Schizosaccharomyces pombe: one gene and its partner. The gene in region 1 interacts genetically with each later gene. Each region holds a gene or a part of one and is shown in the gene's direction. Other genes may lie near its edges.

Region 1 (5,530 bases):
AGCTTTTATGATTATTAGCTATACTCTTCCGTAAGTGCGCGCAACAATTTAAAAATTGCTTGGCGGAATATTTGAATTTGCATGTTTTTGTTTTAACTTATAAAGAAAATTAAGTACCTTTAGTACTGGTAATGTTTGATGTACATTTATTATAGTAGATAGAATATTCATGTTGCATAAATTGGTTTCGCACTTTCAGTTAACATTTTCAAATTCATTTATACATAAATACTTTTTTAGATGATTAATAAGAGGCGTTTCATAAATAGTATAAGTACTTTGTAAGCCTATTCTAATGGATGTGAATAAACAAAGAGACTATGGATTATGTGAATAGTTATATTACTTTCTTATTCGATAATCAAATTTTAAAGCTCCCAAATGCAAGATTATTGAAGAAATTTTGAAAAAGTTTCTTTAGTTAACATTAGCATGTAAAAGACACATAAACCCTAATTGACTGTAACATAAGAGACCTTTTACTTACGTCTACAGCGATTATTCTACTGGACTTAATAAAAGCAAAATTCGGACGGTCGAAACAACTCATTTAGACGTATGAGTCTATTTATTGTAGGTTAGCTTTTTGAATGAATATTACATATCATTATTTTTCTCTTTCTTTCTCTAACTACTAAAACCTAGGGTACTCATAACATCAAAAACTCAGCAATACAACTTTTAAAGACGAAACTGAAAAATGAATTTTTAAAGGGCGTTAAATGTATTACTAAATATCCCGAAAATGCACATAGCATTTTTAAAGTTCAAGAATATACTGGATACAAGGGAGTGACCTTTATAGTATCTACCAAATGGAATCTAACTGTCGACTCAATTCATAAACTAATTCCTGAAATTAAAAGCTCTCCGAGTGCATGTTTACTTTTAGTAAACCAACCATACCCAGTTATCGAAAAAATAACTGATATTCTTACAAAACATGGGATCACGAATGCAAATCTTTTGGAATTTTCAAAATCGTCTTTGTTGCATCCTTTTAAAAGGAATAGACACCTTCTTTCATTCGTGCCTTATCCTATGACTGCTGAGACATTAGGAGACATCTCGTGGTCATTTTCTCGAAGAGAAAATATGAAATTTGAAAAGGACCAGCAGTATATCTTATCAAAATTTAAAAGTCCACGAAATTTATTGATTCCTTACCCCTCTTTCCTAATTCAAAAGTTCTTGGATATGGCAATCCTTCCTCCTATGGCAGCTTTAAGGATTTTGTTTTATCAGTATTCTAAAGCTAGCACGATGAGCCTTACAGATGACTTTTACAATAAGTATGTGCTGGAGAATTTGAATATAATAAACAATTTACAGATTTTTCTTCATCTTGACTTAGAACCTTTACATATCAAAAGTCTTGCTAAAGCAAGAAAAAGATTTTATGAAACTGACTTGAAAACAACATTTTTAAATGCATTTTCCAGAGACGAGTTGTTGATGTTGGTTAATTATTTTATTTTTCGGGGCACCGAGTTAAAACTTTCTGTTTCCATGAATCTCGCTTTTCGTGACATTCTATTATCATCGGCTTATTTGAATAAAACCAAATAATACTAACGAAAATTACTGGCTTAATGCTGCTTATAATCTTTTTATATAGTATTTTATTTCACGGTCTGAGATTCGTGGCATGAATGCTATAATGCTAGTAACTACCGATGATTATTCATTAAATAAATGACTGTATCCTGTAGAAACAGGATATTATGTTGACAGAGTTTAATGGTCATTTGTAAAAACTAATTAAAGTAATAAGTAAATACATTTTTAATATAGATAAGTGGCAGAATAAAGTGAGGGAAGCTTTGTCGTTTAAGTTGTATATTTTTTTTTAAAGCTGGGCAGTAAATATATTTCATATTTAATGAATTTGCGTCGCCGCCGACAGCATCAGAAACCATCAATTTTTTATTATACGGCCGGAGAATTTTAAAAGAATAAATATAAAATACTGATTACTCCCTAAAGCTGGCTCTAGACACGAACGACATTAAGGCGAACCACGTGGAATTTTTGGTATAGAGGCGTAAAGTGTTCACTAACCACCTAGCATAAACCCACTTAGGAGTGTCAATTGAAAACTGTAGTGCTTCAACTAGTGAATTGCAATTGTTTTAAATTATTTTAAAACAATTGATCATATTTGTGATGATTCATTGAATGAAGTAAATTAGATTTTTTATGGGCGTGTGTTGATTGTTGCGATTAACATCAGCGACACGAATATCTTCAAATTTTATTATCATTTTAGAAAAGAAAAGTTATTTTTTAGAAAAATAAAAAACAATGGACGGAAATCGTAGAGTGCGTTTCAATACCGATAGACGACCTTACCTCTCTCCCTTACAAACATCTTTTCCGAGTTCCACTTCGTTTCAGACCCCTACATTTTTAATAGAAGAAGATGATGAAGATACAGAGGATGATGATGGACCACAGGTTCTTCCTGTTCATAGGGCGCCTTCTCCTGCTGCTTTTCGCAAAAGAGGCTCTATAACTTCCATGGATCAATATTTAGTAAACATGCCGGCTGTTCCAAGTCCTACCGCATCAAAAGTAGGCCTATTGGATGCTAGGAATACAGACGTTGAAAGCTATGCAGCTAGCTATAAAACCCAAAGTAGTTCAAATTCCGTCAATAGCTTACCAATGCGTAGGCCTACTCTGGATAGAAGCTACTCAGCACCTATGATCGCTGCTAAAAATTTACAGAGCGATCCGGAAAAAATGTCTAATGTCGAATCAACTAATGAACTACCCTCTACTACAACAGAAGCGTACAAGCTTGTTGCTGCTCACACGGCAGCTCGATTAGAGCATATGAGGCTAAACGCTTTGAAGGCCGCTAATGATGAAGGAGAAGATGTTAAAGATAACGAACAAGATGACAATATAGATGAATCTGATCCATTTGCTAATCCTAAGGCTTCTTATCGTGGCGGCGTATTGTCAAATTTGCTGAAGTTGTATACAAATTCTAATACAGTTACATCCAGTAGGATTTCTTTGAAGCACACTGATCCTACAAAATGGCAAAAACACGCTAAAAGGACTGCTTCTAGTAATTCACTTACAGACCTTTTGCACGCATCAAATCAGACTTTTATGGCGCCTGCTTCTGGCTTGCAGTCTACGGAGGAAATTCCTCAATTCTCTAAAACAGGTCATTCTCGTGGTAGAAAATTTAATTTTCACCATCACAGTAGGAAGAATTCTGGTTTGAACGAAGAATATAAAATCACTATTCATTTGGCTGACATTTTACAACGCCAAAAATATATTTTAAAACTATGCCGTGCTTTAATGGTATATGGTGCTCCTAGTCATCGTTTAGAAGAACATATGGCTTCTGCAGCAAAGGTTCTCGAAATAGAGGGACAATTTTTGTACATTCCTGGATGTATGATAGTGTCATTTGGTGATGTTAACACTCATACTTCTGATATGCACATTGTTCGTGTAAATCAAACAATTGATCTTGGGCGTTTGAAGTTGGTCCATGACATATATAAAGCTGTTTTGCACGACCGTATGGGTGTTGAGGAGGCAATTAGAGGTTTAGATGAAATTTTTAAATCTCCTCCTTATTTTAGAACTTGGATACTTGTTGTTTTTTATGGTTTTGCTAGTGCCACTATTCTGCCGATGTCTTTTCAAGGCGGATGGATTGATTTGCCTATTGCATTTATATTAGGTTGCCTCGTAGGGATTCTTCAGCACTATATCGCTCCTCGTTCAACCATGTATAATAGTCTTTTTGAGGTGACTGGCTCAATTATTACATCTTTTCTAAGTAGAGCTTTTGGTAGCATTCGGTATTCTGGTGGTCGTCGATTCTGTTTTTCTGCGCTTGCGGAGGGCGCGATTGTGTTAATTCTTCCAGGTTATATCGTACTTTGTGGTTCGCTGGAGCTACAAAGTAAAAATATTGTGGCAGGAGGAGTTCGAATGTTTTATGCCATCATTTATTCTTTATTTTTGAGTTTCGGTATATCAATTGGGGCAGCTCTTTATGGTTGGATGGATCATAATGCCACTGACTCAACTTCATGTCCGGTATCTACTCAAATGGATGATAAATGGAAAATTTTGTTTGTTCCCTTGTTTACTTTGTGTCTTTTAATTGTAAATCAGGCAAGGCCCTCTCAATGGCCTGTTTCGATTTTCATATCTTGTGCAGGCTATGTCGTTAATTATTTCACCGCCAAGCATTTCGGATCAAATCCGATTGCGAATGCAATTGGTTCTTTTGCGATTGGTTGTTTGGGTAATATATATTCACGTTTAGGTCGAGGAGTTGCGTTCGCTGCTGTATTGCCTGCTATATTTGTTCAAGTCCCCTCTGGTTTGGCTGCTCAAGGTGGTATTTCTTCTGGCATTGAAGTTGCTACTTCTTTAACGAACAATACTTACAACACCTCAAGTTCTTCTACTTTGGATGTTAATTCTTTAAAATTCGGTTTGGTTATGGTTCAAATTGCTATCGGAATTTCTGTTGGCCTATTTGCGTCTGCATTGGTAGTGTATCCTTTCGGAAAACGACGATCTGGCTTATTTAGTTTTTGACAATATTCGTTTTTCAATTTTTTCAAAAATTCACATTTTTATAAAGCTTCCTCTTTACTGGTTCTAGAAAATCCGGAATTTTTTTCTTTAAAAAATATCAAAATTTAAATCTATTTTGATCTTTATGGCTTAAGTTATGCCGTACTGAGACGTCGGATATTATTTATTAATCAACTTCACTTGATTTTTTATTATTTATTAGTATTTCCTAGCATATAGAGTATCATTTTCTCTGATTATTAAAAAAATTAATCAATTTATTACAAAGATTTAGCAGAGCTTATTGTAAAGATTATATAGAGCATGAGTACAACTTCTCGTAAATAATTCTGATATATAATTTATGCTGTATTCGTGATTTGCTGATGTTTTGAATAACTAGACTGCGTTTTGTATATTAAAAGACTTTATTGACGCCGCTTGAAAATATTAATATTTGTAGGAAAGCATAAAAAAATCATGAGTTTATTGAGATATGTAAATAACGGTAAAAACTTCCTAATGTATCTTAATAATTCCTACTAACAAGCTATTATTAAGTTCAATAATGCTAAACTAAAAATATCTTAGTTAAGGAAACTTGACCTACTATCACCTCATCCCATGGTAAGTAATGTTTACCCTGACTCTTACCTTCTTTCCAAGCTCATATTATGAATGAAGACAAATTGGAGTCCAAATGGTTATTTTCATTAACTGAATCACAAAAATTGTACCTTTTAATATCTCTAATAATTAATAAGAAATTACCTGAAGCTAAATTTGTTTACAAGTTACTGGATTACACTAAAGGCAATTGGCTTTCACTTTTACTTCGATTCCTTCCTGAAACGACGGATCCAGAATGCTACATACCATATATAGATATTGATTCACACTATGGTAATATAAAAGCTTCTGTGAATGATATAGAGCCTATTGTTTTACCAGATGAAGAGTTATGTCA
Region 2 (5,174 bases), on another chromosome or scaffold:
TACGAGGTCGGGAGGTCATCGTTTTCTTGTAATGGTACTCGAGATGTTACTCACTTAATTTTTCTGTTTTCTAAGTGCGTACTACATATTGTACTAATAGAGTTTCAATCGGCTACTATCCTCTAACCCATGTTCCATATTCAACAGCTGCTCTCTTTCTCGCTAATCATGGTTAGTGTATTGCATCTAGCCTACACCCCAAAAACACAGGTAGCAAATAAGCTCACTCATTTCTCGATATGGTGTAACGTCGAATACCTGGCAAGAACCAGACAATCGTTTATTCTTGTATTTTTTTAATGCCGATGAATTCCGTGTTAGTTATTGGAAGTGGATTTTTAGGAGGTCATATCATACGGCAGCTGTGCGAACGTGAAAATCTTCGAATTGCTGCATTTGATCTCTTTGAAAATGAAAAGTTGCTACACGAGCTTCATGGTCAATTCACCATGTATACGGGTGATTTAACGAAACAAGGTGATATTGAGCGTGTTTTTGAGGAATTTCATCCACGCGTAGTTATTCACACTGCTTCACCTGTGCATAACCTTGCTCGTGATATTTACTTTGAAGTGAACGTAGATGGCACAGCGAATATCATCAAAGCATGCCAGAAATTTAATGTTGATGCCCTTGTTTATACTAGTTCCGCAGGTGTAGTTTTCAATGGTGCTGACCTTATCAATGTGGATGAGTCCCAGCCCATCCCAGAAGTTCATATGGATGCCTATAACGAGTCCAAAGCTTTGGCAGAAAAACAAGTCTTGGAGGCAAGTTCTGAATCTTTAAAAACTGCTGCCCTTAGAGTTGCTGGTTTATTTGGTCCAGGTGATCGCCAACTCGTCCCTGGTATGCTTTCTGTTTTAAAGAATGGACAAACCAAATTTCAATTGGGTGATAATTTGAATCTTTTTGATTTTACCTACATCGAAAACGCTGCCTATGCTCATCTTCTGGCTATGGACAATTTACTTTCTAGTAATCCTACTGCCAATGGCCAAGTCTTTTTCATTACCAATGGACAGGTTATTTACTTTTGGGACTTTGCACGTGCTATTTGGGCACATGCAGGACACGTTCCCCCTTATATCATCAAATTCCCTAGACCGGTGGGTATGCTCTTAGCCACTGCTGCTGAATGGGTTTGTTATTTCTTGAAAAAGGAACCTGGCTTTACACGTTTCCGTGTCCAATTTAGTTGTGCTAACCGTTACTTTAACATTCAAAAGGCAGAAGATGTTTTGAAGTACCATCCCATTGTGGATTTGGAGGAAGGAATTCGTCGTACTTTGGCTTGGATGGATACTGAGAAAAAACATTAAATTGAGCCATTGGCCTTGTTATTCTTTAAAAGAATATTTAATTTTTAAATTCTAACGCTTCGTAGTCTTTTTTCATTTCTACATAGTTCACTTTCTTCTCGATGAGTTCTACCTCTTGAGCATGTCGATACGAAACAGTTTTTTTCCGCTTTGGAAATTGTTAATGACTTATATCATCATTTCATTTGATAGATGATTGCTCAGATCTTAAAAAAGGAAAAAAAAATATTTGGGTATCTTGGAATATAGACAAGATCGAATAACATCAATATAACGTTCTCTTTGTACTTTCTACTCGTTGTGCTTGAGACGAGAAGGATACAGCTCGTTTGCTTTTGTTATCTTTCTTTGAACTATACGAAGATTGTCCGGTATCACTTGTGTTTAGAAAACAATGGTTATTTCCTTTACATAATGATTGCCTTGTAAGTTTTTCTCATCTGAGATGTATTGATGTATTATAAGTTTCGAGTCATTTTATTTCGTAGATAAATGAATAGACACACTTCATAGAAACTGCTTTTATTACGCTTGTAAGTTTTTGAGATTTCTAATGTAAAACATTGTGTAAATTCTGTATTTATTTTTTAATATGTATGCTGCGTTGCAAAGTTTGCATTTATAAAGCCATTAATTTGTTGTTCTAAAAATATCATTTTGATCTTTGAGAATCCTAAATATCTGTTTCTTTGTAGCCCAATACTACCAATTATTAAGCTGCATTGTTCGGACAGATAAAAACTTTTTTAGCTACTATCAACCACCAAACAAAAACTCACAAGGGCTTGAATTTGTACTTTTTGCTCAATAAAATGGCTAAAGAAGCATTGGAATTAAAAAATGAAGCCAACAAGTTTCTAAAAGAGGGACATATCGTTCAAGCTATAGATTTGTATACAAAAGCCATTGAGCTTGATTCTACAAACGCAATTCTTTACTCCAATAGATCTCTTGCACATTTAAAGTCAGAGGATTATGGTCTGGCAATCAATGATGCTTCCAAAGCTATTGAATGCGACCCCGAATATGCAAAGGCATATTTTCGTCGAGCTACTGCTCATATTGCTATTTTTCAACCCAAAGAGGCTGTCGGTGACTTCCGAAAGGCATTGGCACTAGCACCCAGTGATCCAGCTGCTCGTAAAAAGCTTCGTGAATGTGAGCAATTGGTCAAAAGGATTCGTTTTCAGGAGGCTATTCATAATACTGAACCTCCTTCACCACTTGCGAATATCAACATTGAAGACATGGACATTCCTTCTGACTATGATGGTGTAATATTAGAAAAGCAAATAACGAAAGAGTTTGTTGAAGACATGAAGGAACGCTTTTGCCAAGGTAAAAAACTCCCCCTAAAATTTGCATATAGCATATTGCGAGACTTAAAAGAATTACTTGAAAAAACTCCTTCTTTAATTGACATTCCTGTTAAAGGGGATGAGACATTGGTTATCTGCGGTGACACCCATGGCCAGTATTTTGACTTGTTAAACATTTTCAAACTTCATGGTCCTCCAAGCCCTACTAACAAATATTTATTCAATGGTGACTTTGTCGATCGTGGTTCGTGGTCCACTGAAGTCGCTTTTACTCTTTATGCATATAAGTTATTATATCCGGACGCTGTTTTCATCAATCGCGGTAATCACGAAACTGACGATATGAACAAAGTCTACGGATTCGAAGGTGAATGTCGTAGTAAGTATAATGAGAGGACATTTAATATTTTCTCGGAAACTTTTTCTCTGCTACCTCTTGGTTCCCTAATTTCCGATTCTTATCTTGTTGTACATGGTGGCCTATTTTCTGATGATAACGTAACATTAGACCAACTACGAAACATTGATAGATTTAGTAAAAAGCAACCTGGACAATCTGGGTTAATGATGGAAATGCTTTGGACCGATCCACAACCTGCTCCAGGACGAGGACCATCGAAACGTGGGGTGGGTTTACAATTCGGCCCTGATGTTTCAAAACGTTTTTGCGAGGCTAATGGTCTTAAAGCAGTGATCCGTTCTCATGAAGTCAGAGATCAAGGCTACGAAGTTGAGCACGATGGTTATTGTATTACTGTGTTTAGTGCTCCTAATTATTGTGATAGTACCGGAAATCTTGGTGCCGTAATTAAAGTTAAGGAAGACATGGAGTTGGATTTCCACCAATTTGAAGCCGTTCCCCATCCTAACATTCGCCCAATGGCATATGCCAATGGACTGCTAAGTGGTATGTGATGGGAGACTGCAAGCACTGTTCTCAGTGTTTGCACCCACATTTTTTTAATTTTCTGGTTTTTGAAAAAATTTGTTCCACAGCTATATGATCCAGTTAAATTATTTTTTGAAGACTTGGTTGTTTGGGTTTTTATGAAGTTACCGTCGTTCAAAAAAATAATGCTATTTGTATGTTTAATCTTTAGCTTAAGGATTGGTTTCGATACCTGGATGGTTAGGAATTCCCAAATGTTAATTCCTGATTAGCTACTCTTTATTCCAAAAGTTCCATTTCACGTTCTTTGTACAATAAAAATATAAATAATGTTTAAGTTCATATGAACAATGAAGTAAATAAAACAATTGATCCTTTAATATCGCACTGATTTAAAATGCTGTCTTCTTATTATTATTACCCTCAAAATTCACTGCCATCATAAGTCATCAATGTGTCTTCTACTTTAAACACTGTACTTTATTTTCAAGTAACAGTTCAGTCCTTTACTTGTTTGTTTATTTTCTGTTCACAACTCATTTGCTTATATATATTTTTTTTCGTTAATGACAAGATCTCAATAATAGTCGAAAGGTAATTGCATCGAATTTTGGATATACGGGATTTTCATGTCAGCAGCTGATTCTAATATTTTCAACAGCTACTTGCATTTGACAGTAGATATTACATGTATATATAGACAGTTTTACCATCACGCTATTTCTTGTGGACTTGGTGAATTGCCATTCTCGATTAACTTGTGCATATACTATCCGATATCAGATTTAAGATAGCGAGGATCGACATGGAGAGTTAATACTTTAAACCATGACGTCATGCAATGTATGGTTGAGCTGTTTCAACACCAAAAATTTGTACTATCCATCAACAAGTCATACGCGTTGAAACGATCTTTACCCTTTGACATCCCTTCTTTTAGAGATATTCAATTTTTACCGTTTAAATAGTTTTCAATGGCATCTGAGCGCGATCCTCTTCTGCCAGTGCATGGCGAGGGTCCGGAGAGCCCTTCTCGTAGAAATTGGAAAACTTGGATAAAACATGGAATTCTGTTAATCCTTGTTTTATCAACCGTTATATTTTTTTATTTTTTCTCGTCTCATAAGTCCAAAGGGACCAATGAGAAACCAAAATTTGTTATTATGATGGTTTCTGACGGTAAGTGATTGGAGTAAGCTCTCTCATAAATCCGTTGCTCTTTTGAAGGAAAATGATTTTTTTTATATTTAGAGCACTGGGACGGAATCTTCCTTTTTTTTACAATATTTCTCGGTGACTGACTTTTTTTAAAGGAATGGGACCTGGCTCTTTGTCTATGACTAGATCGTTTGTAGAGACTCTAAACGATAAAGAGGGTTATAGGCTTCCCTTGGATGAGCATTTAATTGGCAGTTCACGGACACGTTCCAGTTCGAGTTTGATTACGGATAGTGCAGCCGGAGCAACCGCATTTTCTTGTGCTAATAAAACCTACAACGGAGCTGTTGGTGTTTTGGATAATGAAAAACCTTGTGGAACTATCTTAGAGGCTGCTAAAGAAGCCGGTTACTTAACCGGAATTGTTGTCACAAGCAGAGTTACCGACGCTACACCTGCCTCTTTCTCTGCTCATGCCGCGAATCG

What was found.
Region 2: mutations in SPOM_SPAC7D4.12C (region 1) and SPOM_SPBC3F6.01C together harm fitness more than expected from each alone (negative genetic interaction), as found in Schizosaccharomyces pombe (one large-scale study listed by BioGRID).

Annotation. Positions count from the first base shown.
Region 1 is NC_003424.3:2,612,738-2,618,267, forward strand, and holds SPOM_SPAC7D4.12C (uncharacterized protein), read left to right. Parts: upstream 1-2,069; 5' UTR 2,070-2,304; coding exon 2,305-4,584; 3' UTR 4,585-4,858; downstream 4,859-5,530. Other genes in the region: protein Iss10, read left to right, coding at 1-18; SPOM_SPAC7D4.13C (uncharacterized protein), read left to right, coding at 559-573, 646-1,569; secretory pathway protein Sec39, read left to right, coding at 5,238-5,530.
Region 2 is NC_003423.3:4,183,855-4,189,028, reverse strand, and holds SPOM_SPBC3F6.01C (serine/threonine protein phosphatase), read left to right. Parts: upstream 1-2,070; 5' UTR 2,071-2,134; coding exon 2,135-3,556; 3' UTR 3,557-4,430; downstream 4,431-5,174. Other genes in the region: erg26 (3 beta-hydroxysteroid dehydrogenase/delta 5-to-4-isomerase), read left to right, coding at 300-1,322; pho8 (alkaline phosphatase), read left to right, coding at 4,505-4,709, 4,844-5,174. UniProt on the Schizosaccharomyces pombe protein: Protein phosphatase that specifically binds to and dephosphorylates the molecular chaperone Hsp90. Dephosphorylation positively regulates the Hsp90 chaperone machinery.